Anolis sagrei: one gene and its partners. The protein of the gene in region 4 interacts with the protein of the main gene of each other region in a pairwise test. Links are inferred from orthologs where the notes say so. Each region holds a gene or a part of one and is shown on either strand. Other genes may lie near its edges.

Region 1 (7,639 bases), on a different chromosome or scaffold from region 4:
AAGCCGAGTCCCCTGATTCTACCACAAAAAACTGGGAAAACTTATTGACTCGAGTATAAGCCGAGGATGGGAAATGCAGCAGCTATGGGTCAGTTTCAAAATAAAAATAGATACCAATAAAATTACATTAATTGAGGCATCAGTAGGTTGACTGTTTATTAATATTTACATAAAATTGTAAGGTAAGACTTTCCAACTCTGACTAAGCCATTATTCTAACCATCCTCAATGTACATGTGTTTACATATCTTTCCAATAATAATAGAGTAAAATAATAAATGTAATAATAATAAAAATAAATAAAGCTAACCTATAAATGTAATAATAATAATAATAATAATAATAATAATAATAATAATAGAGTAAAATAATAAATAACCTTGACTCGAGTATAAGCCAAGGGGAGCTTTTTCAGCCTTAAAACAGGGCTGAAAAACTAGGCTTATACTCGAGTATATACAGTAAATCAAATTGGCAAGTACATACTATGCCTGGGACCAATATAGTAATATCTAATACTGATTACTAATACTAATACTAATAAAAATTATGGAGCCCCTGGTGGCGCAGTGGGTTAAAGCACTGAGTTGCTGAGCTTGTTGATCGAAAGATCACAGGTTCGATTCCGGGGAGCGGTGTGAGCTTCCACTGTCAGCCCTAGCTTCTGCCAACCTAGCAGTTCGAAAACATGCAAATGTGAGTAGATCAATAGGTACCGCTCCGGCGGGAAGGTAACGGCGCTCCATGCAGTCATGCCGGCCACATGACCTTGGAGGTGTTTACGGACAATGCTGGCTCTTCGGCTTAGAAATGGAGATGAGCACCACACCCCAGAGTCAGACATGACTGGACTTAGTGTCAGGGGACTACCTTTACCTTTTAATACTGATATTGTACTATGCTAATAATATAATATATTGTATGTATATATATCTTGAAAGCTTCTCCGAGTCCCCTTCGGGATGAGAAGGGTGGCATATAAATGTCGTAAATAAATAAATAAATAAAATATTGCAATCTGTAGTTCCTTCTGGTGGCCTTGGGAACTATCATCATCATCATCATCCTTTAATTATATAGTGCAGTTTGACACCACTTTGACTTCATGCTATATGGAATCATAGGAATTGTAGTTTGCTGAAGCACCAGCAGGGAAAGCTGAAAACCTTGTAAAACTACAACTCCCAGGATTCTATGATATTGAGCCATGGTAGTTAAAGTAGTGACAAACTTGCATTCATTCTACAGTGTTGATCAGATGTGGCAAACTTGGGCCCTCCGGGTGTTTTGGACTCCAACTCCCACAATTCCTAACAGCCTCAGGCCCTTTCCTTTTCCCCCTCAGCCGCTTAAGCGGCTGAGGGGGAAAAGGAAAGGGCCTGAGGCTGTTAGGAATTGTGGGAGTTGGAGTCCAAAACACCTGGAGGGCCCAAGTTTACCCATACATGGTCTAGATGCACCTAGCAAGAGAGGGAAGGAAGAAATAACAAAATATAGAACTCTTACAACAAATTATCCAGGCAAAATACAACAAAGTTACAGAGTAAAGAAAAAAAGTATCAACACCGCTATATGATAATAAAACAAGCCTAAATTAAAGCTTTGGAAATCGGAATGAATGGAGTTTGACTTCTCTAGTGTTCCATGGTTTATAGAATCCTGGTTGGCAAGGCACTCTTTGTGAGACCTTGTAAAACTACAATTCCCATATAGCATTGAGTCATGGCAGTTAAGGGGGAGGGGATCAAACTGCATTAATTCTACAGTGTGGAATGTTGAATTCCCCCAGAATCCTGAGATTTGTAGTTTGGCGAGGCACCAGCCCACTTTGTCAGACCTTGTAAAACTACAATTCCCATATAGCATTGATCCATGTCAGTTAAAGGGGAGGGGGTCAAACTGCATTAATTCTACTGTGTAGAATGTTGAATTCCCCTAGAATCCTGGGATTTGTAGTTTGGCGAGGCACCAGACCTTGTAAAACTACAATTCTCATATAGCATTGAGTCATGGCATTTAATTTGGGGGGAGGGTGGTTCATTAATTCTACTGTGTAGAATGTGGAATTCCCTTAGAATCCTGAGATTTCTAGTTTGCTGTGGCACTATCCCACTTTGTCAGACCTTGTAAAACTACAATTCCCACATAGCATTGAGCCATGGCATTTAAAGGGGGGGGGGAACTGCATTAATTCTACAGTGTAGAATGTTGAATTCCCTTAGAATCCTAAATTTTCTAGTTTGCTGTGGCACTAGGCCACTTTGTCAGACCTTGTAAAACTACAATTCCCATATAGCATTGAGCCATGGTAATGAATCCCCTAGAATCCTGGGATTTGTAGTTTGGTGAGGCACCAGCCCACTATGTCAGACCTTGTAAAACTACAATTCCCATATAGCATTGAGCCATGGTAATGAATCCCCTGGAATCCTGGGATTTGTAGTTTGGCGAGGCACTAGCCCATTTTGTCAGACCTTGTAAAACTACAATTCCCATATAGCATTGAGCCATGACAGTGAAAAGGGGGAGGGGGGGGTAAAACTGCATTAATTCTGGTGTAGAATGTTGAATTCCCTTAGAATGCTGCGATTTCTAGTTTGCTGTGGCACTACCCCACTTTTCAGACCTTGTAAAACTACAATTCCCATATAGCATTGAGCCATGGCACTTAAAGGGGGGGGGGGGGCAAACTGCATTAATTCTACACTGTAGAATGTTGAATTCCCTTAGAATGCTGCGATTTCTAGTTTGCTGTGGCACTACCCCACTTTTCAGACCTTGTAAAACTACAATTCCCATATAGCATTGAGCCATGGCACTTAAAGGGGGGGGGGGCAAACTGCATTAATTCTACAGTGTAGAATGTTGAATTCCCTTAGAATGCTGCGATTTCTAGTTTGCTGTGGCACTACCCCACTTTTCAGACCTTGTAAAACTACAATTCCCATATAGCATTGAGCCATGGCACTTAAAGGGGGGGGGGGGGCAAACTGCATTAATTCTACAGTGTAGAATGTTGAATTCCCTTAGAATGCTGCGATTTCTAGTTTGCTGTGGCACTACCCCACTTTGTCAGACCTTGTAAAACTACAATTCCCATATAGCATTGAGCCATGGCACTTAAAGGGGGGGGGGGTATCAAACTGTATTAATTTTACAGTGTAGAACGAGAAACTCCCAATAAAGTTCTAGTGCCTCTGTAAACTACAAATCCCATAAGAAGCAAGGTGGGGCTATAATTTTGTGGCTTGGGGTTTTAAAAAAAATTATGAAGGGAAGGAGCAAAGAGGTGATTTGTAAGCAATGCAAAAAAAGAACCTGCAACATGACCTTCATGAGGACTAGCATCCTCCTTTTAAGAAAGCATCCATACAAACTCACCTACTTCCACCTGCAATCCAAGGCAGAAAGGTCTTCTGCTTCACTCTGCAGTCTCTCCCTCTCTCACTTCCAATGGGTGGCTTTGTACTGGGGAAGCCTTTCAAATCCCCCGCCCACTGGCTTCCCTGGGTCCTAGCGCTAGTAGGACTCCTACCTCTGTCCCAAAAATATGTACACACTCTTTATTTAACACAGTGTTTCTCATTTAACACAGTGTCCCCTCGATGGACTGTCACCTTGTCGTGGTGAGGGGGCTTGCGTGTTCCGATGAACCTGTGGGCACAACAACTGGAGTCGTGCACTCCCAGGAGTGGCCGCGGGGGAGGTCCCAGACCAAGCACAGTCCGAAGACCAAAGACCTCAACGGCGGAGCAGGCGGAGGATAACATGGCACATGTTACAACGGCTGCGAAGGCGGAAGAAGGCTGCAACAGACTGAGAAGCCACGGTCATTGTGTTAAACTACATCACCAGTGGAACCTCATCTGTGAAGACTGTGTGTTGTTCAGCTGTGCACTGACCTCCACACATTAAAAAAACCCACGCACAGGCGTCTTCCAAAGAAAATAAAAACCAAGCAACCAAAGTCCCATGGCGATCAGCGAGTGGCGACGGGGGCAGGACTGTGAAATCTGGAAGCCCCTAGTCACAGACTGGCACATGGGCGGTGGGTACGGACTCAGTCGCTCTACCTCAAGGTCCGAGGCAGTTGAGTAGTTCGGCAGCTGTATCCGCGAACTGAGCAGCCCTTTTTAGGACCCACTCTGCTCACCCCACACGGGGAGGGGGCTAGAAAAGGTGCCCTAAACATAGTCTGCCTCACTTATCCCTGACTGGACTGCCGCGTCCAGTGGGGTCACCATCCTGCGGCCAAAAAAGAAAAATGAACTTCGGTACGTGGAACGTACGGACACTGATGGACTGGTTTGACGAAAATGACATCGAGATCCAACAGCTAATCGACAAGAAAAGGAAAGCCTTCCAAACATGGCAGAGAGACATCAACTGTGCTGCTAAGAAAAAGATCTACGCCAGTGCAAAAGCTGAGGTCCAAAGAAGGACAAGAGAACTCAAGAACATCTGGTGGACAAAGAAGGCTGAAGAAATCCAACACCTGGCAGATACCCATAATGCTCAAGGATTTTTCAAAGCCACAAAGGTCATCTATGGGCCAAGAAACCATGGCATACAGCCTCTACGCTCATCAGACGGAACCAAACTCCTGAAGGACCAAAAGTCAATTGCACTACGTTGGAAAGAACACTACCAAAGCCTCCTAAACCGCAGCTCCAGTGTGGCCGAAGAGGTCCTCTCACAAATCCCGCAGCAACAAACCAGGGATGAGCTTGCAGCACTGCCTAGTTTGGAAGAAGTCAGCAATGCCATCAGCCAACAAAAGAACAACAAAGCCAGCGGACCGGATGGGATCCCTGCTGAAATCTTTAAAGAGGGAGGACCTGCGCTGACACACCAACTCCACCAGCTCATAGAAAAAGTGTGGGTGACCGAGAAAATCCCAGCAGACTTCAAGGATGCCACCATCATCACCCTCTTCAAAAAAGGGGAAAGAACAGACTGCGGAAACTATCGAGGTATCTCCCTTCTAACCTCTGCTGGAAAAATCCTCGCAAGAATCCTTGCAAACCGCCTTCTTCCCCTCTCAGAAGACACCCTCCCAGAATCCCAGAACGGCTTCCGCCCCTCCAGAGGAACTGTGGACATGATCTTCACTGCACGACAGCTCCAAGAAAAATGCAGGGAACAAAACCAACCTCTGTACATGGCATTCATCGACCTTGCCAAGGCATTCGACACAGTGAATCGCAGCGCTCTCTGGACCATCCTCCAAAAAATCGGGTGCCCAAGCAAATTTGTGAACATCCTGCGGCTCCTCCACGATGACATGATGGCAACAGTCTTGGACAGCAATGGCTCCCAAGTGACCCATTTAAGGTGGAATCGGGCGTCAAACAGGGATGTGTTATTGCCCCAACTTTATTCTCCATCTTCATCGCCATGATACTTCACCTTGTTGATGGGAAGCTTCCCACCGGAGTGGAAATCATCTATCGGACAGACGGCAAGCTATTTAACCTCAGCAGACTGAAAGCCAAAACCAAGGTCACAACAACATCTGTTATAGAACTCCAGTATGCTGATGACAATGTCGTCTGTGCGCATTCAGAAGAAGATCTACAAGCCACTCTAAACACCTTCGCAGAAGCATACACAAAGCTTGGCCTGTCACTGAACATCGAGAAAACCAAAGTGCTGTTCCAGCAGTCACCAGCCGATCCCTCTCCAATGCCAGTGATACAGCTTAATGGTGTAACATTAGAAAATGTCGACCATTTCCGCTACCTTGGCAGCCACCTCTCCACCAAAGTCAACATCGACGCCGAAATACAACACCGCCTGAGCTCTGCAACTGCAGCATTTTCCCGAATGAAACAAAGAGTGTTTGAGGACCGGGACATCCGTAGGGATACTAAGGTGCTTGTCTATAAAGCTATTGTCCTCCCAACCCTGCTATATGCCTGTGAGACATGGACTGTCTACAGACGTCACATGCAGCTCCTGGAACGATTCCATCAGCGCTGCCTCCGGAAAATCCTGCAAATCTCCTGGGAAGACAAGCGGACAAACGTCAGCGTGCTGGAGGAAGCCAAGACCACCAGCATTGAAGCGATGGTCCTCCAACATCAACTCCGCTGGACAGGCCACGTTGTCCGGATGCCTGACCACCGTCTCCCAAAGCAGTTGCTCTACTCCGAACTCAAGAACGGAAAACGGAATGTTGGTGGACAGGAAAAGAGATTTAAAGATGGGCTCAAAGCCAACCTTAAAAACTCTGGCATAGACACTGAGAACTGGGAGGCCCTGGCCCTTGAGCGCTCCAGCTGGAGGTCAGCTGTGACCAGCAGTGCTGCAGAATTCGAGGAGGCACGAGTGGAGGGTGAAAGAGAGAAACGTGCCAGGAGGAAGGCGCGTCAAGCCAACCCCGACCGGGACCGCCTTCCACCTGGAAACCAATGCCCTCACTGCGGAAGAAGATGCAGAGCAAGAATAGGGCTCCACAGCCACATGCGGACCCACAAGGAAACCCATGATGGAAGACCATCTTACTCGTCCAACGAGGGATCGCCTAAGTAAGTAAGTACAGTGTTTCTCAACCTTCCTAATTCTGCGACCCCTTAATACAGTTCCTCATGTTGTGGTGACCCCCAACCATAACATTATTTTTGTTGCTACTTCACAACTGTAATTTTGCTTCTGTTATGAATCATAATGTAAATATCTGATATGCAGGATGTATTTTCATTCACTGGATCAAATTTGGCACAAATAACCAATATGCCCAAATGTGAACACTGGTGGAGTTTGGGGGAAATAGACCTGGACATTTGGGAGTTGGAGTTGCTGGGATGTATAGTTCACCTACAATCAAAGAGCATTCCGAACCCCACCAATGATAGAATTGAACCAAACTTGGCACACAGAACTCCCATGACCAACAGAAAATATTGGAAGGGTTTGGTGGGCACTGACCGTGAGTTTTGGAGTTGTAGTTCACCTACATCCAGAGAGCACTGTGGACTCAAACATTGATGGATCTGGACAAAACTTGACACAGATACTCAATATGCCCAAATGTGAACACTGGTGGAGTATGGGGGAAACACACATTGACATTTGGAAGTTGTAATTGCTGGGATTTATAGTTCACCTATAATCAAAGAGAATTCTGAACCCCACCAATGATAGAATTCAGCCAAACTTAGTACATAGAACTCTCATGACCAACAGAAAATATTTGAAGGGTTTGGTGGGCATTGACCTTGAGTTTTGGAGTTGTAGTTCACCTACATCCAGAGAGCACTATGGACTCAAACAATGATGGATCTGGACCAAACTTGGCACAAATACTCAATATGCACAAATGTGAACACTGGTCGAGTTTGGGGGAAACAGGCCTTGACATTTGGGAGTTGTAGTTGCTGGGATTGATAGTTCACCTACAATCAAAGAGCATTCTGAACCCCACCAATAATAGAATTCAGCCAAACTTAGTACATAGAACTCCCATGACCAACAGAAAATACTGAAAGGGTTTGGTGGGCATTGACCTTGAGTTTTGGAGTTGTAGTTCACCTACATCCAGGGAGCACTGTGGACCCAAACAGCTATGGATCTGGACCAAACTTGGCACAGATACTCAATATGCCCAAATGTGAACAATGATGGAGTTTGGGGGAAA
Region 2 (7,622 bases), on a different chromosome or scaffold from region 4:
ATCTATATTCTTGAGATTATTATTATTATTATTATTATCTAGACGTAGGCCGATCTGGAGATAACTCCCATCTATTATTATTATTATTATTATTATTATTATTATTATCTAGACGTAGGCCGATCTGGAGATAACTCCCATCTATTATTATTATTAGTATTATTAGTATTATTAGTATTATTATTATCTAGACGTAGATCTGGAGATAACTCCCATCTATTATTATTATTATTATTATTATTATCTATCCTGATTCACATCCTTTGGTGGAAGGACCTGTTGGAAGGAAGCAAAACTTCTAAACAAACTTAGAAAAGGATTGTCGGGTTTTTTCCCCCCCGTCTATGTTGTAGAAGCACTCTCTCCTGACGTTTCGCCTGCATCTATGGCAAGCATCCTCAGAGGTTGTGAGACATTTGGTGACATAGCTTAATCAACCTCAGAGGTTGTGAGACCTCTGAGGTTGATTAAGCTATGTCACCAAATTCGAAAAATAAAATATGTTCCTGGTTTGAATGTGTTCTTTCCTGTTTAATCACTGGGTTGTTGTAGTCCCCCCCCCCGGGCTATATGGTCATCTTGTAGAAGCACTCTCTCCTGACGTTTCGCCTACATCTATATCAAGCATCCTCAGAGGTTGGGAGGTCTTTAGCTTCAGTTAATTTAACGATGTCACCAAATTCGAAAAAATAAAATCTGTTCCTCGTTTGAATGTGTTATTTCCTGTGTAATTGTGCAGGACTTGACTTTGAAAGTAGTTGTTCTTACACCAGAAACTTCGGGGGGGTTTTTTTGTGGCTGGCACAAACTCACAACCTCTGTGGATGCTTGCCATAGATGCAGGCGAAACGTCAGGAGAGAATGCTTCTACAAGATGACCATATAGCCCGGAGGAAAAAACGACAACAATCCAATTATTCCAGCCATGAAAGCCTTCGACAATACATTAAACTTAGAAAAGCAGCTCAAAATAACCCCGGATGGGAAAAGAAGTGAGATATCTACATTGCTGGTAGACACATATAATCCAGTTCAAGTCTGAGACAGTGTAGATCCCAGCCTGGGAAAAACATGCCAGCGCATTTTACTCATACTTTTTGCTACCTATTTCTAAGTCTCATGGGCTGATTTTGAGGTAAACAAACATTTGTTGTTGAAGGCTTTCATGGCTGGAATCACTGAGTTGCAGTGAGTTTTTCGAACTGTATGGCCATGTTCCAGAAGCATTCTCTCCTGACGTTTCGCCTGCAAGTAAGTAAGTAAGTAAGTAAGTAATAGCAGGCATCCTCGGAGGTTGTGCAGGCAAAACGTTAGGAATATCTCAACCAATTCCTACCTCACAACTTCTGAGGATGCTTGCCATAGATGCAGGCGAAAGGTCAGGATAGAATGCCTCTTTTGGAACATGGCCACACAGCCTGAAAAACCTACCACAACCTAGTGATTCTGGCCATGAAAGCCTTCGATAAGACACTAGTGGATTAAATTTGATAGATACTCTCCGAATTCAAATTCCACTACTACTTGAGACCATCAAATCACAGCTGTAGTTCTCTCAAGACTGGAAGGCAGGATTGAAGAGGCACAATTCAGAAGTGTGTTTGTAAACTAAAGGAAGGATGCCTGCTCTAGATGTGGGCGAAACGTCAGGAGAGAATGCTACTGAGAAATGCCCATATAGACCGAAAAACTCACCGCAACCTAGTAAACAAACATGCCTTCCGACCCGTTTGATTTTTGAATGAAGGACACAAACTATTGCGAACGTCCATTCTTTTCCACTTCGAGGCAGATCTCTTCCAAAATAAAAAGCGGAGGGGAAAGTTTAAGCAGGAAAAAACACTATATGTCACAACATTTCAGGGAAAAAAACATGTTCCTGTTTCGAAAGTATTATTTCTTCTTTAGTTGTGCTTCCCTTGCTTTGAAAGGAGTTGTTCAACTCCAGAAACTTCAGTTTTGCTGCCACAAACTATGTCGGAATTGAGTATGTTGTAGGTCTTTCGGTCAAAACCAACACTTGGTATTGTCGAAGGCTTTCATGGCCGGAATCACTGGGTTGTTGTAGGTTTTTCCGGGCTATATGGCCATGTTCTGGAGGCATTCTCTCCTGACTTTTCTCCTGCATCTATGGCAAGCATCCTCAGAGGTAGTGAGGTCGGAATTGGTTGAGATATTCACTGAAAAACTCGAGCGGTATGTTTTGTATTTTTATGGGGGTTTTTTTTGCAATTGAATAAAACTTTCTCCATGTCTTCAATAATAGAACCAATGAAGAAATGACATATTAACCCAGGAATTAAAAATAGTGTAATAAATCCGACTAGGAAGGAAAGGAAGAGGGAAGAGGAAAGGAAAGAAAGGAAAAAGGGTAGGAAGGAAAGGAAAAGAGGGAAGGAAAGGAAAGGAAAGAGGGAAGGAAAGGTTTGTGTGATTGATCCTTGGTATAAAGGTGTATAAAACAAATATAGAAACCAAACATTGACTGAAAACAAGTCAGTCTTTGCAACAATAACAAGGCAGGATAGACAGAATTATTTTCCTTTTGATGGAAGAGTTGTTACCCCCCCCCCCCGCAGATAAAATGTTGTTGCTGACACGATTTGTGACACTCAGAAAGCTTTTGTTGTTCTCCAAATTTTTCGTGACCAAGGATCTCTCTCTCTCTCACACACACACACACACATATATGGGGAAATCGCCTTTGTGTGTGTATGTGTGTGTGAGAGAGACAGACAGACAGACACACACACATCTATCTATCTATCTATGGGGAAATTTAATCCAGTGGTTTGTGCGTGTGTGAGACCCACACACACACACACATATATATATGGAAATTTAACCCAGTGGTTTGTGTGTGTGTGTGTGAGAGAGAGAGAGAGAGAGAGAGTGAGAGAGAGACACACACACATATATGGAAATGTAATCCAGTGGTTTGTGTGTGTGTGAGACACACACACACACACACACATATATATGGAAATTTAATCCAGTGGTTTGTGTGTGTGAGACACACACACACACACACACACACATATATGGAAATTTAATCCAGTGGTTTGTGTGTGTGTGTGAGAGACACACACACACACACACACACACATATATGGAAATTTAATCCAGTGGTGTGTGTGTGTGTGAGACACACACACACACACACACATATATGGAAATTTAATCCAGTGGTTTGTGTGTGTGAGACACACACACACACACACACACACACATATATATGGAAATTTAATCCAGTGGTTTGTGTATGTGAGAGACACACACACACACACACACACACACATATATGGAAATTTAATCCAGTGGTTTGTGTGTGTGTGACTCATGTTAATCCCACAAACGAACATTTATATATACACACACACACACACACACACATATACATACATACATACATACATACATACATACGGGGAAATCACCTTTGTGTGTGTGTGTATAAATGTTCGTTTGTGGGATTAACATAACTCAAAAACCACTGGATGAATTGACACCAAATTTGGACACAATACACCCATCAAGCCAACGAGTGACCATCACTCATAAAAACACTGCAAAACACAACAGAAGAGACTTAAAAAGGCAAAAATATGAAAAAATACATTACAACTCATGCGCAAAACCACATATACGCATATATACACATAGGAAACACGTATACACAGACTGGGCCACAGCAAAGCGTGGATGGGGACGGCTAGTATACACACACACACACACACATACACAAACAGGTGATTTCCTCGCAGAGAGAACCTGAGGATATCAAAACGGATCATCATCATCATCCTATCTGCCTTGGTCCTGTCTGCTTCGTTGTGTCTAAACGGGAAACGGGGGGTCCCGACCCCTTTTCTGAGCTCCGTGTTGAGGCTCTGACACGGATTTGTGAGTGTTTACAATGTGGAAGATGCTTCCATAAAGAGGAGGAACCCGCCTCTCTCTCTCCTGCTTTCTGATCAGTCCATGTTTGGTTCCTACTCTTGTTTCACACGCTTCTCTCCTTGGAGAGCTCCTCAGAAAAGTTTTCTTGGAATCAGAAGCCTTGCCCGCCCTACCCTCCGTCCTCTTTCTTTCTCAGGATAGATAGAAGCGGGACCCCGACCTTGGCGCGCATGGATGTCCTCTGGGGGCCCCAACCCGGCTCTGCCCCGCTCTACCTGCCCCGAGGGCGCCGCCGGGGAGCGTGGGCGGGGCGCGGGGCGTGGCCTGGGGGAGGGAGCCCCGTCCCGCGCCGCCATTGGCCCCGGCGGCTGTCGCTCGGCGCTCCCGCGCCCGCCCATTGGCGCCGTCCCGGGTCCCGCCTCCGCCCGGCGCTCACATACCCGGGGAGGGCCCGGGAAAGGTGATCAATCTTCGCCGGGCGACATTTCCTATCAGCTAAACAGCTGGGCGGGCGAAGGGAGGCTGCGGCTTGGAGGGAATCTGAAGAACGAGCGAGGTGTTTCCGTGGGAAGAGAGAGAGGCAGCGCGGGGCCGGTCGGGGCGCCCCCCTCCCTCTCGCGCGGACAGGTGAGGCGCCCCCCTCCCTCCCCGCCCCCCTCTGCCCCCTCCCTCCCCTTCCCCCCTCCCTCACTCCCCCCCTCCCCTCCCCCTTTGGAGGAGTCCGAGCCTCTCCTGGGAAGGAAGTCCGGGCAAGGGGAAGAGGAAGGGAGCAGCGGCGTCGGGCGGAGCGGCGGACACGGAGGAGGCCAACTTTTCCCTCCCTCCGTTGCTGGAGGTGCGGCTCCCAGAGAGACCTCTCTCTCTCCGTCTTTCAATCTCCCTGCCCCAGCTACCCCCCCCCTCCTCCTTCTATAGAAACTTTCCTGAAACTTTCTCTCTCTGGTCGGGTCCGGAGGGGGGAAAGGCGCGCGGAAGGGCGCGCGCGAGGGGGAGTCCGGGCGGAAGGAAGGAAGGAAAGAAAGAGGGAAAGAAAGAGGGAAGGAAGGGAAAGGAAGGAAAGGAAAGAGGAAAGGAAGGAAAAGAAAAAGGAAAGGAAGAGGAAAGAAAAGAGGGAAGGGAATGAAAGGAAAGGAAGCGGTAAGGAAAGAAAGAGGGAAGAAAGGAAAAGGATAGGAAGGAAAGAGGGAAGGAAGGAAAGGAAGAGGAAAGGGAGGGAAGGAAGGAAGGAAGGACGGGGTCCCAGGAGGTTCGAGCCCTCTTCCCTCCCACGCGCGCGCTCGCTCTCTCTTAGCTTTGCGGCCCTGCTGGAAGCACAGCGCGAGGCCGGAACGGAAGGAAGGAAGGAAAGTAGAAAGGAAGAAAAGGAGGAGGGAAAGAAGGAAAGAGCCAAGGGGAGGAGGAAGGAAGAAAAGAAGGGAAGGAAGGAAAAAGCGAAGGGAAGAAGGAAGGAAGGAAAGTAGGAAAGAACAAAAGTAAGAAGGAAGGAAAGTAGGAAGGAAGAAAAGGAATGAAAGAGCGAAGTGAAGAAGGGAAGGAAAGTAGGAAGGAAGAAAAGGAGAGAAGGTAGGAAAGAGTGAAGGGAAGAAGGAAGGGAAGGAAGGAAGAAAAGGAGGGATGGTAGGAAAGAGTGAAGGGAAGAAGGAAGGGAAGTAGGAAGGAAGAAAAGGAGGGAAGGTAGGAAAGTGTGAAGGGAAGTAGGAAGGAAGGAAAGTAGGAAAGAAGAAAAGTAAGAAGGAAAGAAAGTAGGAAGGAAGAAAAGGAGGGAAGGAAGGAAAAGCGAAGGGAAGAAGGAAGGAAGGAACGTAGGAAGGAAGGAAAGTAGGAAGAAAGGTAAGAAGGAAGGAAGAAAAGGAAGGAAGGAAAGAGCGAAGTGAAGGAGGGAGGAAGGAACGTAGGAAAGAAGAAAAGTAAGAAGGAAAGAAATTAGGAAGGAAGGAAAGTAAGAAGGAAAGAAAGTAGGAAGGAAGAAAAGGAAGGAAGGTAGGAAAGAGCGAAGGGAAGAAGGAAGGAAGGGAAGTAGGAAGAAAGGTAAGACGGAAGGAAAGTAGGAAGGAAGAAAAGGAAAAGGGAAGGAAGGAAAGAGCGAAGGGAAGGAGGAAAGAAGGCTGCTGTGAGTTCATAGCCATACAACCTGAAAAACTCAAAGCAACCCAGTGATTCCAGCCACGACAACACGAGGAAGGAAGGCCTTGCTTCCGGGAAAGTGCTCCTGACCTATCTTACCACATATTACCCACATTGTGCGTGGTACGGGTCAGCATTGAGCATATTATTGCACTTCCAAGCGGGGCGCGGGGTGGAAGAGGGCGGATCGGGGCCATTTCCCCAGTCACATCCCTCCTTCCTTCCTTCCTTCTGGGGAAAGAGAGAGGCGGCAACAGGTCTACTTTCTTGTCCCCTCGCCTCCTTGAAACCCCACTTTTCCTACTCTTTGGGGTTCCATCTCGGCTGCCTGTCTCAATAAATCCCATTCTTAGAAAGCCTCCACCCGCATCATCGGACCTTTCCATTCCTGCAGAAGGCTAGTTCGAAAGCGCCTTGAGTATTCTGTGTGGATGCGGCCTTTGTCCCCTCTTTCCGCAGTTTCTGGGGATGTTGGCGTCGTTTCAGGCACGACTTTCCCTTCCTAGTCAAGGATTATTTTTCCCCCGTGTCAGGAGCGACTTGATAGGGTTTGTAATACAATATAATGCGATCCGTGTCCTTCTTCTTGTGTCCCCCCCCCCCTTCCTCCCTTTCTTCCCTCTTTCCAGGAAAAGCCAATGCCGTCGCTTCTTCGCAGCCCTTAAGGAGCCTGGATGCGCCTTTTCCTTTCGCCGCACTAAAACCCGCAGCGACACGAGTGAGTTTCCTAATAATCGCCCCAAAACTGGACCCAAACTTCCTCCTCCTTCGTCGGGATCTCTGTGGATTTCAAAGGACCCCGTTTTGTTTTTAAGCCACTCGCGGTTTCTAATTGCCCTTCTGTCCCCCTTTTTCAATTAATTACTCTCTCTCTCTCTCCTCTCTCTCTCTCTTTCTTTCTTTTTGGAATCTCGTTTTGATTTCTAATCCAATTATCTTTTTAAAATAATGGCCCTATCTCCCTCCCTCAGCAGCCCGCATTGTCCCTCCGAGAAACCCCTCGGCGATTGTATGGGAAGCATCACCAGGGCTTTACAGGGAGGAAGAATCACCCCATGCCTTAACCCCCCCTTCCTTCCTTGACTCCCTTCTTAACACTTCTAGTTTCCCTAGAAAGCCGCCATGTTGGTTGTGTGGATGTGTGTTTTTCCAAAACTGCGCGAGGACAAGACTTTGGGAAATTATGAGATCGGTTTGACGCCTTCAAAAGGAGTTTGCTTCTGCTTTTTCCTTTGAGAAAAATCAAAACAGTTGAAGGAAGGCTCAGTCTATACAGAGACGGATCTAATGCGCTTCAAGCGGCCTTCTTTGAGAGACGGGACCCAACACTTTCAAGGAAGGCCGGCTTGAAACTTTATTATCAATGGCCTTCTGCATATGTGTGTGTGTGTGTATCTCTTTTCTATATTTCCCATATATATATATATATATATATAGAGAGAGAGAGAGAGAGAGATCCAAATATATATATATAGAGAGAGAGAGAGATCCTATATATATATATATATATATATAGACAGAGAGAGATCCAAATATATATGTATAGAGAGAGAGAGAGAGAGATCCAAATTTATATATATATAGAGAGAGAGAGATCC
Region 3 (8,122 bases), about 43 Mb from region 4:
CCACAAAAGGGCAATGGGTATCTATGCCAGCAAATTCATTTATGCTAAAACAAAGCTCCATGGATATAAATGAAGTACAATTGGTACCAATTTTATTTGTACACTCCCTAGGGTCTTGCAATAAATAGATGTATACAAATTGTTTAATAAAATAAAATAGTTTTAATAGATGGTTGGAACTGAAGGAAAGTGTTCTTGTGGGATCAAACTGGTTTTGTATCTGCTTAACCTAAAAGTTGGGGGTAGGTGGGTTTTGAGCAGGCCTCTAAACTAACCAGCCTGTTGCTGGAATAGTTCATTCCCTTGATATATCCATAATCATGCCATCAGACTGTAGGGCTTTGGAAATGGTGGAAGCTTTCCCATTTAACCTCATTTCCAAGGCAATAGGGGATGTGGTGATGCAATGGGTTAAACCCTTGTGTTGCTGAACTGCTGACCTGAAGGTTGGCAGTTCAAATCTGTGGGACCGGGTGAGCTCCCACTGTTAGCTTACAGTTTAAAATCCAACACAGCAGTTTGAAAACATGCAAATGTGAGTAGACAAATAGGTACAGCTTCATCGGGAAAGGCATAAGATGCTCCAAACAATCATACCAGTCACATGTCCAGGATGTGACAACACGGGATCCTCAGAATGGAAATGGAGAACAGCACCTCCCCCAGAGCCAGACATGAGCACTGTCTCCAAAGCCGGAAATGAAAGGAGAAGCCTTTGCCTTTGTTTGTGTTTGTGTGTCTCATTGTATTGTAACAAGGCATTGAAGGTTTGCTGGTATCTGTTTATACTGTAATCTGCTCTGACTCCCCATGGAGTGAAGGGCGAAGTATAAATAAAAGTGTATTATTATTATTATTATTATTATTATTATTATTATTTAAAATAACAAAAATGGGGCTTTGCAACCACCAGAAATAGCATAGCCGCAGCAATTAGAACACTTTAAAAATAGAGTAATTATTTATAGCCCAAAAGCAATTCTTAAAAAAATGTTTTGGCCACACAAACCACAAGGACATTAGAGAGGTGGCTAGAGAGCAGACTTCAGTATTTATCTGCAGAGCTCTGTGACCTGTTTCAAGTGAACATTTGTTGCTATTTTATGCCTTTAATTTAGCTCTGACTTACAACCTATCATAATATTTTCTTAACATGACTTATTCACAAGAGGTTTTCTATTGTCTTCCTCTCAGGATCCGAGAATATGACATGCCCAAGGTCACTGAGTGGGTTTTCATTCCTGAACAAAAATTCAAATTCCAAAGACCTAGTCCAATTCTCAAAGCACTACACTATAGTAGTTCTTGTACATCGCTTGTGGTCAATCAGTCAAGGCATTAATTAAAATTTAATGACCAACAGTCACTCCTTGGCTCATGTTTATCACTGGGCCTCCATATGTTTACATCCATTTTTTCCTCTTAAAAACCAAAGGTGCTCCACAATGATCAGTCATAAAAGGTCATAAAAGGTAAAGGTAAGAGTTTCCCCTGACATTAAGTCTAGTCGTGTCCAACTCCGGAGGGTGGTGCTCATCTCGATTTCTAAGCCGAAGAGCTGGCGTTGTCCATAGACACCTCCAAGGTCACATGGCCGGCATGATTGCCTGGAGCGCCAATACCTTCCCACCAAGGCGGTATGTATTAATTTACCCATATTTGCATGTTTTTGAATTACTAGGTTGGCAGAAGCTGGGCCTAACAGTAGGAGCTCACCCCGTTCCCCAGATTCGAACTACCAATCTTTTGGTCAGCAAGTTCAGCAGCTCAGCAGTTTAACCCACTGCGCCATCAGGGGGCCACCAGTCATAGAAAAGTTAACAAGCCATATCTTACACATATAGCATTAACTGGCTTATGAAATAATTAATTCTACCGTACAACCATGTGATATGAACTTCATGTCTTGAAGATGTACTTAGCCAGGTTCGCTGTGTTTGTCCCTGACTTGGGATGGTTTCTATGACACCTTGTTTGAAAATATTCCTTGCTCCCACTCACCATTTTGTTGCATCTTCTACTGACTTTTGCCCAGTAGCTGCCAAAGCTTTTAGCCTGAGGAGAGCACAATAAACTCACATTAAGTAATGAAAGCCACAATCACATTGAATCAGAATAACTTTATTTCTGATATCAGTTTGAAAAGATGCTTTGTGAACATGACGCCTTATTAAATTAAACTCTGATCCTGAAAACATACCTAGCTTCCTAAACTGCTTCTCATAGGACTTAGCTTCCAAACCTTGATCATTAGTTGCTCTTCTCTGGGCACATTCCTGCTTGTCAATACCCATCTTGAATTATGTTGCCCAGAAATGGACACAATGTTCTAGCCCTAAAGAAAACAAAACACCCTTTTCTGCTTCCTTTCTGAATACCAGTTTACTTTTAAAGCAAGCAGGGCTGCCCTAACCCATTTATCCAACATGTAAAATATATAGTACCTGGAAAAGTTTATTTTTTTTCTTCCTTCCTCATACACTCTCCCATTCTTACATACTTTAAAGTAAAAGCAGAGGCAGCCCTAGGTAATTTTCAACGGTAAGCAAACAGTATTTTGCCCGCCCGCCCCCCAACCAATCACTGATATATATATATATATATATATATATATATATATATATATATAGTTCGTCGTGGGAGTTCTGTGTACCATATTTGGTTCAATTCCATCATTGGTAGAGTTCAGAATGCTTTTTGATTGTAGGTGAACTATACATCCCAGTAACTACAACTTGCATATGTCAAGGTCTATTTTCCCCCAAAAGCGCTTCAAGGGCGCCCCTGGGCAAAATCAACTATACTGCAAATGCTTACTTTGCGTAATGGGTTGAGCCACCCCTGAGTAGAAGCCATGATTTTAAACTGTAAGCCAACTCAGTTAGTTATATACCAGTAAATAGGAGAGGAACTGTATGCAGTAGAAGAGATACTTACGCTATATGTACAGAGAATCCATTCATCAAGAGAGGCTCCAGTAAAGACTGGCTATTTCTATTTCTGTGCTTGCTTAGGACTTTGGAATATAGTGGTATCTCAGTTGCTGCCATCTCTCTCTTTCTCTTCTGCGAATGCAACGTAGACAAAGGTGCAGAGAAAGAGTGTGTAGGCAGAGTCTCCTGTGATAAAAATCAAAACCTCAAAACCTCCTTCGATCTTTTTTGACACAAGTTGACATCCTGTTTTCACAGCATGGTGTGGCTCTTAAAATTATTGCTGCAGACAGCCTCAAAGTGAGGGGAAGGTAAATACCTTGGACTGAATGTGGATTACAGGTTACTGGCCCACCCTGCCTCAGAGCTATACATTTCATTTCAGTGACTGTTCGCAGATTAGATTGGTGCCTTCTCTGATGTAAACCGATTTCCTCAAAGAGGAGTTGTCAGTATGAATGAAATGTTCATGTAGAATATTTCTTTGTATGTTAAATTATAAATACAACATTTTCAACATTCTCTGTGAATATTGGAAGAGATTCTGACAGCTAAATGAGCTGTCAGTATTCAAGACACAATTGAAGACCTATCTCTTTTAGTAGTAAAACTATAAATTTTAAATTTACATTCTATTTGTATTGTATTTGAACCTTTGTACTACATATTTTATGTGTTTTATATCTATACTTTATGGTAATGTGTTTTAACTCTATTGTAACCCACACTGATGGAACAAGCATGCTCCCCTGAGGCAGGCCATTCTTCTGTTTTTCCCATCTGCTTCTCTGGCCCTCGAATTCAACAAAAAAGCCTCTGTTTTGTAGTAGATTTCCTATGAAGTGGGTGAGGTGGTAGTCCTTTGTGATATTATACATTTTCCTCAGGAGAAGGCAATGATTTACAGTGTCATAGGCTGCTAACAAGTCTATGAAGACATCTATGTAGATACTGTGACTGTGGCACAGCTGGCTGGGAGTCAGTGTTGCACCTCAGAGTAGATTCTCCTGGCTACAAAACACCAAACTGCACACAGCCAGAAGTCTTTATAGTTTATTAAAAATAAAAGGTAAAAATTTCTTAAAAGCAAAGGTTAATGTTCCAAAAGATCAATATAATATAGCACTTTGAAGCTTAATCCAAAAAGGCACCAGCGAAGCAAAAGCCCAAGAGAACATGACAAAGACCTGAAACCATGAACACAAAAACTGCAAGATAATCTAGCCAAGCAATGGCAAGCTTCTTAGTTGAATGCAAAGTTGCTTTGACGAAGGTTTGGTCTCAAACACACTGCTTAATACCCTTACAAAACATGAAGGCGCTTCTTTGGCCTCTGACCTCCCTCTTGTTAGCTATTCTCTCACTCCTTTGAACTCGGAATTCCAAACGGTCAGCCCGATCTAAGTTTCCCATTTCATCAAGGTCAGTCTGTTCGTTAGTGTCAGCCTGTTTCCCTGCTTGCTCATTATCAGGTTGTGAACCGTCCTCCTTCTCTGAGTCAATCTGCACCTGCACCTGGCTATTTTCAGTATCAACACTCTCATGCCTTGCTGTGAGAAACTGCACTTCTTCACTGTCTATAACAGGGACATTTTGAACCAGACTGTGAACCTAAGTCCCATCATCCTCATCAGAAACACTCTCTGATTCCAGCTGAGTCACAACAGTCAGTTGCATTAAGATCACTACTGACTGAAAGGTCATGAGTTTGAAGCCAGCCCAGGTCAGAGTGAGCTCCCGACCAAAATTGTGTAGCTTGTTGTCGACCTTTGCAGCCCTAAAAGGACAGTTGCATCTGTCAAGTAGGAAATTTAGGTACCACTTATGTGAGGAGGCTAATTTAACTGATTTACAAGGCCCGGGGGGAGTCTCTCATTCAGTATCAGCCATGGCTTGAGGTTCCTGGTTTTAGCCTGCCACTTTTGGACTCTCATTTGCTGAAGTGTTCCTGCGACTATCTCTGTAGATCTTAGAAAACTATTTCTTGATTTAAGGCATTGGCATGCTGGCTGATATCTGAACAGGGGATGGGCGGAGATGTCACTGCCTTGGTCCTTTCATTATTGGCTACCACTTCCTGGCAAATGTCAGGTTGTGCAATACCGGCTAGACAGTATAATTTCTCCAATGGTGTAGGGCATAGACAGCCTGTGATAATGTGGCATGTCTCATTAAGAGCCACATCCACTGTTTTAGCGTGGTGAGATGTGTTCCACACTGGGCATGTGTACTCAGCAGTAGAGTAGCATACCACAAGGGCTGTTGTCTTCACTGTATCTGGTTGTGATCCCCAGGTTGTGCCAATCAGCTTTCAAGCACTCACATTTTGCTTGGTATTCAGGCAGTGCTTCGTGTAGGTCAGAGAACAATCCAGGGTAACTCGCAGGTATTTGGGTTATGCTCCAGATGTCTTCATAGGCCTGTCAGCAGCCTATGACACTGTAAATCATTGCCTTCTCCTGAGGAAAATTTATGATATCACAAAGGACTACCACCTCGCCCACTTCATGGAAAATCTACTCTTAAACAGGAGCTTTTTTTGTTGAATTCCAGGGCCTGAGAAACAGATGGCAAAAACAGAAGAATGGCCTGCCTCAGGGAAGCATGCTTGTTCCATCAATGTACAACATTTACACAAATGACCAGCCACTGCCAGAAGGGATAGAGAGTTTCATCTATGCTGATGATCGTGCCATTACCGCTCAAGCAGGGAGCTTTGAGATGGTTGAACAGAAGCTCTTCAAAGCTTTAGGTGCTCTTGCTGCCTATTACAGACAAACCCAGCTGATTCCTAATCTATCTGAAACAAAGACATGTGCTTTTCATCTTAAGAACAGATTTTTGGGAGTACAAGTGGTTGATTCTGAAAATTATGTTTCAAGAAAGGATGTTTTCCACACTCAACAAACATCCCCTCCACTGCTGAGGATATAATCAGTACAGTACAACCTCCTATATCCATGGGGAATATGTTCCAAGAGTCCCACAACTGATACCCGAAACCACAGATAATAGTGAACTCTATATTTTGACTATAACTTATCTGGAAGCATAAACATTGCAATGAAGGACCTAGAGTGGCCCACAAACACTTCACACACACACACACACACACACACATCTCTATCTATCCATCTATCTATCTATCTATCTCCAGTCATAGTACCTGAGTAAGCTGGGGATTATAGTCCAATACATCTGAAGAGCAACAAACTCGAGAGTGTTATAATCAGTAAAAATATTGACAATTTGAGTGAAACACGTGTAATGTACAGAAAATAATAATGTGTACACTGTGTCTCCAAGTGTAACCTTCTCTGTTGCAAATCAAGCTCTTTGGGTTTCACAGAACAGAAAGCTTCTTGCAGAAAACTGTGTACTTGTGAGTATATGAGAGACATGAGAGATGAAATGCCTCCCACTGTTATCTCTTCCGTATTTCTGGAAGCAAGCTCTTCTCTGTTACTCAGATGCTCTTTGTTACATTCCTGGCAGGCCTTTAATGAGGAAAAACTATACAACCAAATTACATTTCTCCTTTCTTTCATATGGACAGATAACACACACTTACATCTGGTGCCATTTCCAGAGACTCGTTGGATATATTTGCAAATACTACAACATTCCTCTTCCTGTTTATGGTTAATTAAAAGGCTTGCTGCCTTTTTACCTTCCTGGTCACTGGAGCAATGCCATTTGAGGCTACCTGATCTCTCCAGATGGGTTGAATTACACTGACGCCGGTCATAATGCCATCTTCTACAATGATTCAACGAGCAATACGAGGTGCCTCAATGAAAATATCTGCAGAGAAGACTGCGGGATTTCTAGCTGGCCAACTATTATAATGCAAAGAAAATGTATTTTGACATGTGATAATGGCTTCATTGGAAGAGGTGAGTAATAATTTTGATCATGATCATAATGTTGTTCTTTCCAAAACTGCTTCTTTTCTAGCTGATTTTCAAAGGATGCGACATACCTAAAGCAACACAAGCAGTTGCCACAGGGAAGCAAAGTTTTCCCTTTGTTTTGCTTAATCATTTGGTCAGAGCAGAAGGCCAAGCTCTGAAATGAAATATCCTTTGAATCTCATCATTTCTAGTTCTAGAGCATGTATGTGAAAATTGCATCGAACTGAGAAAAGTTATTCCCAGGGGTTTGTTCCTGGTAGTTTATACCTGTTGGGAACATTTCTCAAATTACTACATATATAGATATTTTGGCTTTGAGGTGTTACTAAAAACACTGGAGTACCCTATAACTGTGTTGCTCCTAGAAAAGGACTCTGGGGGCCCTTCCACACAGTCATATGACCCAGAATACCAAGGCAGAAAATCCCACAATATCTGCTTTGAACTGGGTTATCTGAGTCCACAGTGCCATATATTCCAATTCAAAGCAGATATTGTGGGGTTTTATTCAGCTGTGTGGAAGGGGCCCCAGTTAGGAAATACTGAGGGGCCTGGGACCTACATCTTGGTTCCTACCCAGCAGAATAAGAGCACCAAAAAACTTTGTAGGGTGGAACTATCACTGTTTGAAGTAGGTAATGTAATACAATTGCCATATAAAGAGGGAGAGCTTAGAAGACCAATATGTCCAAAAACTGAAATTATTCAAGAGCATCTATGTTGGAGAATTTTAACAACCATTCCTTAACTGCTTGAAGACTTTCATCTGCCATCCACAGATATTTCTTTCTGTTTTGGCTGCAGACAATGTATTTTTGTATTCTTTCCTGACAGTGTCCCTGGCTCAGTTAGGCTTAATAGTGTAAATCTACATTTTACATTATCTTTAAATTCCACAGGGATGTTTTTTTCAGGTTGTGGTTTGGCATGCTGGCTTGTTTCATGTTCTTTAGTTTTATTCTCTTTTTAAAATATTAGCAGTTCATGGTCTGTGCCGCAATTTTCTTCTGATTTTGTTTTCGCAGAGAATTCTCTATTTTCTTTTCCCAATGATAGCATCATAGAGTTGGAAGTGTTCTCATGAACCATCCAGTCCAACCCCCTACCAAGAAGCAGGAAAATCACATATGGTTTATTTTACTTTCATATTGGCTATCAGATGATGTCCATGTATACAGTTGCTTCTTGGGTTGTTGAAGAATGTGTTTGCCATTAACAAACCGTTGGCCTCACAACATTCAGTCAGTCACACTTCTACCTCATCTCTTGATCCTA
Region 4 (8,409 bases):
GAAGCAAAACAATGCAGATTTCAACTAGGCAATCACTCACTTCCGATCTGCACTCGCACAGACTTCACCAACTCCAGCAGTGGCAAAGAAGGCGGCTTTTAAAAGGACACCTAAGGGTGCATCTACACGGGCAAACGAAGGTGGTTTGGCACCACTCAATGATAGGGAATTCTGCAAGGCCATTCACTGCTAATCAAGATAGCCATTTGCAAAATTCACACTTGCCTCAAGCAGGCAAGAGCTCTTTCTCCCACCTTGGGCATTCCAGATATATAAACCTCACTTGCCTAGTTTCCAACAGACCCCTCAACCTCTGAGGATGCCTGCCATAGATGTGAGTGAAACATCAGGAGAGAATGCTTCTGGAACATGGCCATACAGCCCAGAAAGCTCACAGTAACCCAGTGATCCTGGTCGTGAAAGACTTCAACAACACATAAGGAATTCTAGTTTATGCCCCCTTCCACAGAGTTGAACAAAATCCCACAATATCTTCTTTGAACTGAGATATACGGCAGTGTGGAAATACTTTTTCAGGACCCTTCCACATAGCCCTATAACCAAATCTATCAAGGCAGAATATCAATATCTGCTTTGAACTGGGATATATGGCAGTGTGGACTCAGATAACCCAGTTCAAAGCAGATATTGATATTCTGCCTTGATAGTCTTGTTTATAGGGCTATGTGGAAGGGCCCTGAAAAAGTATTTCATCTTCTGCCAAAGAGTGCTGGTGCCTCACCAAACTAGAACAGCCAAGATTGTATAGCACTGAGCCAGGACAATTCAAGTGGTGTTGAAGTGCATTAATTTTGCAGTGCAGATGTGTCCTAAGAAGGGCAACAAGCAAGTGAAGTTGGGGGTTGGGGTTGGACAAGATTTTCACTTGACAGGATCCTGTCAGGCACACATTTCTTGGCAGAGCTACACTGTAACCCTAGTTTTCCCATCTACACAGTAGGATTAATGCACTTTGATGCCACTTGAACTCCCATGGCTGCAAATGGTGGGATCAATGTAACTGGAGTTTGACAATGTCTTCAGAAAAAAGAGTGCCAATGTACAACTCCTATAATTCCATAGCATGGTGCCGGGACAGTTCCAAATGGTGCTAAACTGCATTCATTCTACAGTGTGGAACAGCCCAAAGCTCCTTTGGGAATTGGGGCAAATCTGTCACTGGCCAAACCATCTGAAAGGAAGTGACTCTCCAAGCTTTCAGTCTATGGGCCCTTCCACACAGCCATATTATCAAGGTGGAAAATCCAATATAATGCTTTGAATTGGGTTATCTGAGTCCACACTGCCATATAACTCAGTTCAAAGTAGACAACATGGGATTTTGTATTGTCAAAGGCTTTCATGGCCAGAATCACTGGGTTGCTGTAAGTTTTCCGGGCTGAATGGCAATGTTCCAGAAGCATTCTCTCCTGGCGTTTCACCGGCATCTGTGGCAGAGTTTGTGAGGATGCCTGCCACAGATGCAGGTGAAATGTCAGGAGATAATGCTTCTGGGACATGGCATACAGCCTAAAACACTTACAACAACCCAATGTGTGATTTTTATTTAGCTGTGTGGAAAGGGCCCGAGAAACCTCAGAAACCTCTGAGGATGCTTGCCACAGATGCAGGCGAAACATCAAGAGAGAATGCCTCTAGGACATGGCCATATAGCCCGAAAAAACCTACAACAGCCCAGTGATTCAGGCCATGAAAGCCTTGACAATACATTAAACCTTGGAAACATCCCCTCCCTCAAAATCCGACCCCTTTCCTGCAAAGAAGGGGGAAAAGTCCTGCAGCCAAAGTTTGCCCTCTTCCTTCTCCCCAGGGTCCTTCCAAACAGAATATCAAGGCAGAAAATCCCACAATATCAACTTTGAACTGGGTTGAGTCCACACTCAGATAATGTGGGATTTCCTGCCTTGATATTCTGGGATATAGGGCTGTGTGGAAGAGCCCCGAGTCCACACTCTCATAATGTGGGATTGTAGTTGTAGCCTGAGTCTTTCCCCCTCTTCTTCCCAAGGCGCTTGTTTCCTGCAAAAAGGGGGGAAATCTCCCCATCCGTTCCATTAACAACACACACAGACACAAATACTCTCTTCTTCCCTTCTTTCCCCTTGATTTCTTCTTCTTCTTCCCAATCCAAACCCACCAAAACATGAAACCAAAGCCTTCTTGATTCCCTCCCCCACAAAAAAAACCACCCCAACTCACTTCAAGTCCAGGTTGCAAGCCAGAAGAATCATTGAGACGTCGGCTTGCTGAGTTCCCTTTCCGAAACCCACGAGGGGAAAAAGTCGCGTCCCACCTTCCTTTATTTTTCCCCCGGAGGCGAATAAATAGCAACCCAAACCAATCTCAGAGCTGTTTGTGAAGGCGCCCCTTTTTCTGTCAATCGGGGCGAGGTTGCCTTGTCCTCTCTCTCTCTCTTTCTCAATGAACCAGAGGTCTCTTCGTCAATCCGGAGTCGCTCCCAAGCCAGGCATCACCACACTACAGAGGAAGGCATGGCCAGAGACGTCGAGAAGGGGCTCGAAGGGAGAAGGGCTTGGGCTGTTCCCCGAATTAAGATCCCAAAAGTGGCTTCGGAGGTTTCTTCTCTAGCGGCGGCGAGGATCTCAAGCAAATCTGGGAGAAGAGAGACAGTGCAGACGGGCAATCGAGGCTGGAAGGTGGCTGCGTGACTCCGAGCGCTGTTTGTGCAGAAACGTGGGCTCGCGCGTGTTTTCTCTCTCTCTCTCTCTCTCTCCAAGGTGCGCGAGACCCCCAAGCCAAGCCAGACTTAGAAGGCTTTCTGGAAAGGCAGGGAAGCCAAGCAAGAAGGGGGAGAGAGGAGGAGGAGAAGAAGAAGGAGAAGCCCCCCGCCTGCTGCTTGCTTCCCCCGCTTTCCCTGCGCTGGAGCAGGAAAGGGCAGCTTTGAGATCCGGGCGCCAGGAGCGGCGGCGTTTTTCTGCCGCCTCCCCTCCTTCCCTGGCTCGCTTTCCTTCCCACCCCTCCTTTCCCCTCCTTCCCTCCCTCCTTTTCTTCTTCTTCTTCTTCTTTCCGGAGGAGGCAGGGTGAGCTCTCTCCGCTCAAAGCCGCAGTAAATGGCGTCATGTGGATCCGAGGAGGAACAGAGCAGTTGTTGTCCCGGAGGATATATCGCATCCGGTCCCGCCTCGTTGCAACCTCACCCCCCCTCCCCTTTTCTCCCTCTTCCTCCCCCCTCCCTCCTCGCCCGAGCGCCAGAATGGGGGCGCGTGTGCGCATGCGCGCGCGTCCCTCCTTTCCCTGCCTGCCTGCCTGCCTGCTCGCTTGGGCTCGGCTTCTCGCCGCTCATTCAAAAGGGCAACGCCGGCGGAGACACACTCCAGAGCAGGGCTTCTCAACCTTCTTCATGCCGAGAGCCCTTAATACAGTTCCTTCTGTTGTGGTAACGCCCCCCCCCCCAATAATATTATTTTCGTTGCTACTTCACAACTCTTAATTTTGCTCCTGGTATGAATCGTAATGTCAATATCGAATATGCAAGTTGAATTTTAGCCATGTATAAATGTGTGAGAGGAAGTCATAGGGAGGAGGGAGCAAGCTTGTTTTCTGCTGCCCTGGAGACTAGGATGCAGAACAATGGTTTCAAACTACAAGAAAGGATATTCCATCTGAACAGTAAGAACAACTTCTTGACTGTGAGAGCTGTTCAGCAGTGGAACTCTCTGCTCTGGAGTGTTGCAGAGGCTCCTTCTTTGGAAGCTTTTAAACAGAGGCTGGATGGCCATCTGTCGGGGTTGCTTTGAATGCATTCTCCTGCTTCTTGGCAGGGGGTTGGACTGGATGGCCCATGAGGTCTCTTCCAACTCTATGATTCTATGATTCATTTATTGGACCAAATTTGGCACAAATACTCGATATGCCCAAATTTGAATACTGGTAGGGTTTGAGGGAGGGGTTGATTTTGTCATTTGGGAGTTGTAGTTGTTAGGATTTATAGTTCACGTACAATCAAAGAGCATTCTGAACTCCACCAACGATGGAGTGGAACCAAACTTGGCACAGGGAACTCCAAAGACAAACAGAAAATACTGGGTTTGGTGAGCATTGACCTTGAGTTTTGGAGTTGTAGTTCACCTACATCCAGAGAGCACTGGGGACTCAAATACATGGTGGATCTGGACCAAATTTGGCACGAATACTCAATATGCTTAAATGTGGACACTGGTGGAGTTTGGGGAAAATAGACCTTGACATTTGGGAGTTGTGGCTGCTGGGATTTATAGTTCACCTACAATCAAAGAGCATTCTGAACTCCACCAACGATGGAATGGAACCCAACTTGGCATACAGAACTCCCATGCCCAACAGAAAACATTGGAAGGGTTTGGTGGGCATTGACCTTGAGTTTTGGAGTTGTAGTTCACCTGCATCCAGTGAACACTGTGGACTCAAGCATATGATGGATCTGGACCAAATTTGGCATAAATACTCAATATGCCCAAATGTGGACACTGGTGGAGTTTGGGGAAAATAGACCTTGACATTTGGGAGTTGTGGTTGCTGGGATTTATAGTTCACCTACAATCCAAGAGCATTCTGAACCCACCAACAATACAACTGGGCCAAACTTCCCACACAGAACCCCCACAACTAACAGAAAATACTGTGTTTTCTGATGGTCTTTGGTGACTCCTCTGACATTCCCCTTGTGACCCCTATAGGAGTCCCGGCCCCCAGGTTGAGAAACCCTGCTCTAGAGTGGCTGCTCAGTTCTGCAGTGGGAGAGAAGGGGCTTTGAAGTGTAATTTCTCCAGTGGTGTAGGGCACAAACACCCCGTGATAATGTGGAATGTCTCATTAAGAGTCACATCCAGTGCTCTTCGCCTTGAAAATGCAGCATATGGTCAGTGTAGGCTCGTATAGTGCAGTTATAGGGCAGTGTGGAGGAAGCCAAAGGCAAGGCAGCCACTCTGGAAAGACTCTGGCCTTATCACACTAGAGGAAAAATCCACTTAAAATCCAGTTTCTGTCTCCTGCAGAATTCTGGGATTTGTGGTTTACGAAGGAGCCAGTAACAGACTCACAAAACTATAAATCCCAGAATTCTGTAGGAGACAGAAACCAGATTTCAAGTGGATTTTTTCTCTCTAATGTGATGAAGTTTTGAATGCATCGAACAGGCATGGGCAAACTTCACCCCTCCAGGTGTTTTGGACTTCAACTCCCACTGTTAGGAATTGTGAGAGTTAAAGCCCAAAACATCTGGAGGACCAAAGCTTGCCCATGCCTGTTGTAGAAGCAAGGCAGCCTGAACTGCCCTGGCTTAATGCTAGGGGGTGATAGGAGTTGCACTGTGAAGATGCAAGGCCATTCAGTGGGAATCAAGGTGGCCAGTTACAGCATTCACACTTGCCTCAAGCAGACAAGAGTCCTTTCTCCCACCCTGAGCATTCCACAGATATAAAAACCCCACTTGCCTAGTTTCCAACAGACTTCACAACCTCTGGGTATGCCTGCCATAGGTGCAGGAGAAACATCAGGAAAGAATGCTTCTGGAACATGCAAGACAAGAGTCCTAAATAAATAAGGCTAACCAGCCAGTATTATTTTAAATGGATTTAATTTTAAACTAATTTAATGTTTTTACTTATATGTAATTATTGTATTTATTATGTTGTATGTGGGAGCATCGAATCGTTGCCGTCTGTAAGCTGCCCTGAGTCCCCCTGTGGGGGTTGAGAAGGGCAGGGTACAAATATTTGAAATAAATAAAAAAGAATGCTTCTGGAACATGCAAGTCAAGAGTCCTTTCTCTCACCCTGGACATTCCACAGATACATAAAGCCCACTTGCCCAGTTTCCAACAGACCTCACAACCTCTGGGTATGCCTGCCCTAGGTGCAGGAGAAACGTCAGGAGAGAATGCTTCTGGAACATTCAAGACAAGAGTCCTTTCTCCCACCTTGGACATTCCACAGATATATAAACCTTACTTGCCTAGTTTCCAACAGACCACACAACCTCAAAGGATGCCTATCATAGATGCAGGAGAAACGTCAGGAGAGAATGCTTCTGGAACATGCAAGACAAGGGTTCTTTCTCCCACCCTGGGCATTTCACAGATACATAAACCTCACTTGCCTAGTTTCCAGCAGACCACATAACCTCCGAGGAGGCCTGTCACAGATGCAGGCGAAACGTCAGGAGAGAGTGCTTCTGGAACATGGCCACACAGCCCGGAAAACTCACAGCAACCCAATGATTCCGGCCATGGAAGCCTTCGACAAATACATAGTTGCACTGTGGTTTGTCAGTAAAGGTGAAAGGCCTTGGAAAACTACAGCTCCCAGGATTGCACAGCATTGAACCAGGGCAGTGAAAAGGATTGTCCCATGGAGACCTGGGAGTTGTAGTTTAGGGAGGCACTAGCACCCTTTGGAGGAAAAGCCTCCACGCCTGGTCAAACTACAACTCCATGGCAACTCACACGGTGCCAAACTGCATTCCACCTGCAGTGTAGATGCGCCCCTTATCTCAGAATTCAAGAGGAAAGCTCAAACTTTGATCCCTGGCTTTACTCGGCCGCTAAGAGGGTGGCGTTTGGCGTCTGCAAAGGGATTGACCCGTGTAAACGGGATGAGTGAAGCCTCAACGAACGAAATGCTTCACTTAAAGGGCAACCTTCCCGATCCCATAGCATTGTACCCGGGCAGCTCAATCGTACAGAGGCACCTTTAAAAGCCGAGAGCCTGCCTCCCGCCTTTGCCCCATTGATAAAGCCAGGCGCGGGTATTAAAGGCGCCGCTACCCCTTTTACCCCAAAAGGAGGTAAATAAATGGCACGCGGTGGGAGGATTGCACCACGAAGGTTGCACTTCCTAAATCCCTTTCTCTTGGAAGAGGGAAGGTAATCCAATCACCTGGCCGAGTGGAGAGGGAGAGAGGGAGGCGAAAGAAAGGGATCAGTCGCTGGATTATCCCCATCGGAGGCTGTGGGGACAAATCTCAGCCTTCCCTCTTCCTGATCGTTTACTAAGGTGCCAACCTTTAAGCAAAGGCTGCTCCTCGCTCCTTTTCAGCCCTCTTTCGAAAATAGGATAGATACCTGGTTCCTCTGCACTGTTGGATTAGCACAGTTTGATACCACTTGAACTACCATGGCTCAAAGCTGTGCAATCATGAACGTTGTAATATTAGGAGGCCTTTAGCCTTCTCTGCCAAAAAAATATGGTGCCTCATCAACCTGCAAATCCAGATTCCATAGCATTGGGCTGTGGAGTCAATACAGTGTCCAACTGTGTTCATTTCACAGTGTAGATGCCATAACTGTGGCACAGAAGGAGCAAAAGTAAATGTTAATTGCGTTCCTGTGAGTTTTCCGGGCTGTATGCCCATGCTCCTGATGCATTCTCTCCTGACGTTTCACCTGCATCCATAACAGGCATCCTCAGATGTTGTGAGGTCTGTTGGAAATTAGGCAAGTGGGGTTTATATATCTGTGGAATGTCCAGGGTGGGAGAAAGAACGCTTGTCCAGTCCTGTCGGACTCTGGGGTGCGGTGCTCATCTCCATTTCTAAGCCAAAGAGTCAGCGTTGTCCATAGCACCTCCAAGGTCATGTAGCTGGCATGACTGCATGGAGCACCGTTACCTTCCCGCCGGAGCGGTACCTATTGGTCTACTCACATTTGCCTGTTTTCGAACTGCTAGGTTGGCAGAAGCTAGGGCTGACATCGGAAGCTCATGCCGCTCCCTGGAATCGAGCCTGCAACCTTTCAGTCAACAAGCTCAGCAGCTCAGCGGCTCAGCAGTTTAACCCACTGCGCCACCGGGGACTCCTGCCTTACAGGCATGGGGAACCTTCGGCTCTCCAGGTGTGGTGGACTTCAACTCCCACAATTCCTTGAGGCCAAGGTAAGCCTTTGGGGTGAATGCCGAGCCTCAAGGAATTGTGGGAGTTGAAGTCCACCACACCTGGAGAGCCGAAGGTTCCTGACCCCTGGTCTGGGATATAGGGCTGTGTGGAAGGGTCCACAGTAAGCTCTCTGCCTTCACTGGAATTAAGGACACAAGATCTGGCAAAAGTGAAAAATATAAACAATGGTATTTTTTTTCAACTGGGGCCCCTTCTACACTACCATATTATCCAGATTATCTGCTTAGAACTGGATTATATGAATCTACGCTGCCATGTAATCCCCTTCAAATCAGATAATCTGGATTTTATGTGGCAGTCTAGAAGGGGCCTAGGTCATCCAGTGTGACACAATAGTCAACTTCCAGTAGACACACTAAAGAACCAAGTTTCCTAAAGAGAACATTTCAGTGAAACCTATGGAACAAACTGACTAGGACTTCTTGGAGCTGAAGTTCAAAACACCTGAAAACTAAACTTTCAGAATCCCTGATCTCGAGTGTCAAAAGAGTTTTCCTG

The links.
Region 1: the proteins of SPRY2 (region 4) and HSD3B7 interact in binary tests that used the Homo sapiens proteins (3 or more experiments, as listed by UniProt). The two-hybrid records come from large-scale screens. The link is inferred for Anolis sagrei from reciprocal best matches to the Homo sapiens genes SPRY2 and HSD3B7.
Region 2: the proteins of SPRY2 (region 4) and OTX1 interact in binary tests that used the Homo sapiens proteins (3 or more experiments, as listed by UniProt). The two-hybrid records come from large-scale screens. The link is inferred for Anolis sagrei from reciprocal best matches to the Homo sapiens genes SPRY2 and OTX1.
Region 3: the proteins of SPRY2 (region 4) and UBASH3A interact in binary tests that used the Homo sapiens proteins (3 or more experiments, as listed by UniProt). The two-hybrid records come from large-scale screens. The link is inferred for Anolis sagrei from reciprocal best matches to the Homo sapiens genes SPRY2 and UBASH3A.

The regions. Positions count from the first base shown.
Region 1 is NC_090026.1:14,544,855-14,552,493, reverse strand, and holds the start of HSD3B7 (3 beta-hydroxysteroid dehydrogenase type 7), read right to left. Parts: upstream 3,453-7,639; 5' UTR 3,382-3,452; intron 1-3,381. UniProt on the Homo sapiens protein: The 3-beta-HSD enzymatic system plays a crucial role in the biosynthesis of all classes of hormonal steroids. HSD VII is active against four 7-alpha-hydroxylated sterols. Does not metabolize several different C(19/21) steroids as substrates.
Region 2 is NC_090021.1:152,705,113-152,712,734, forward strand, and holds the start of OTX1 (homeobox protein OTX1), read left to right. Parts: upstream 1-4,348; 5' UTR 4,349-4,527; intron 4,528-6,653; 5' UTR 6,654-6,742; intron 6,743-7,622. UniProt on the Homo sapiens protein: Probably plays a role in the development of the brain and the sense organs. Can bind to the BCD target sequence (BTS): 5'-TCTAATCCC-3'.
Region 3 is NC_090023.1:74,952,283-74,960,404, reverse strand, and holds the start of UBASH3A (ubiquitin-associated and SH3 domain-containing protein A), read right to left. Parts: upstream 3,101-8,122; 5' UTR 3,051-3,100; coding exon 2,938-3,050; intron 2,056-2,937; coding exon 2,002-2,055; intron 1-2,001. UniProt on the Homo sapiens protein: Interferes with CBL-mediated down-regulation and degradation of receptor-type tyrosine kinases. Promotes accumulation of activated target receptors, such as T-cell receptors, EGFR and PDGFRB, on the cell surface.
Region 4 is NC_090023.1:117,507,916-117,516,324, forward strand, and holds the start of SPRY2 (protein sprouty homolog 2), read right to left. Parts: upstream 3,147-8,409; 5' UTR 2,221-3,146; intron 1-2,220.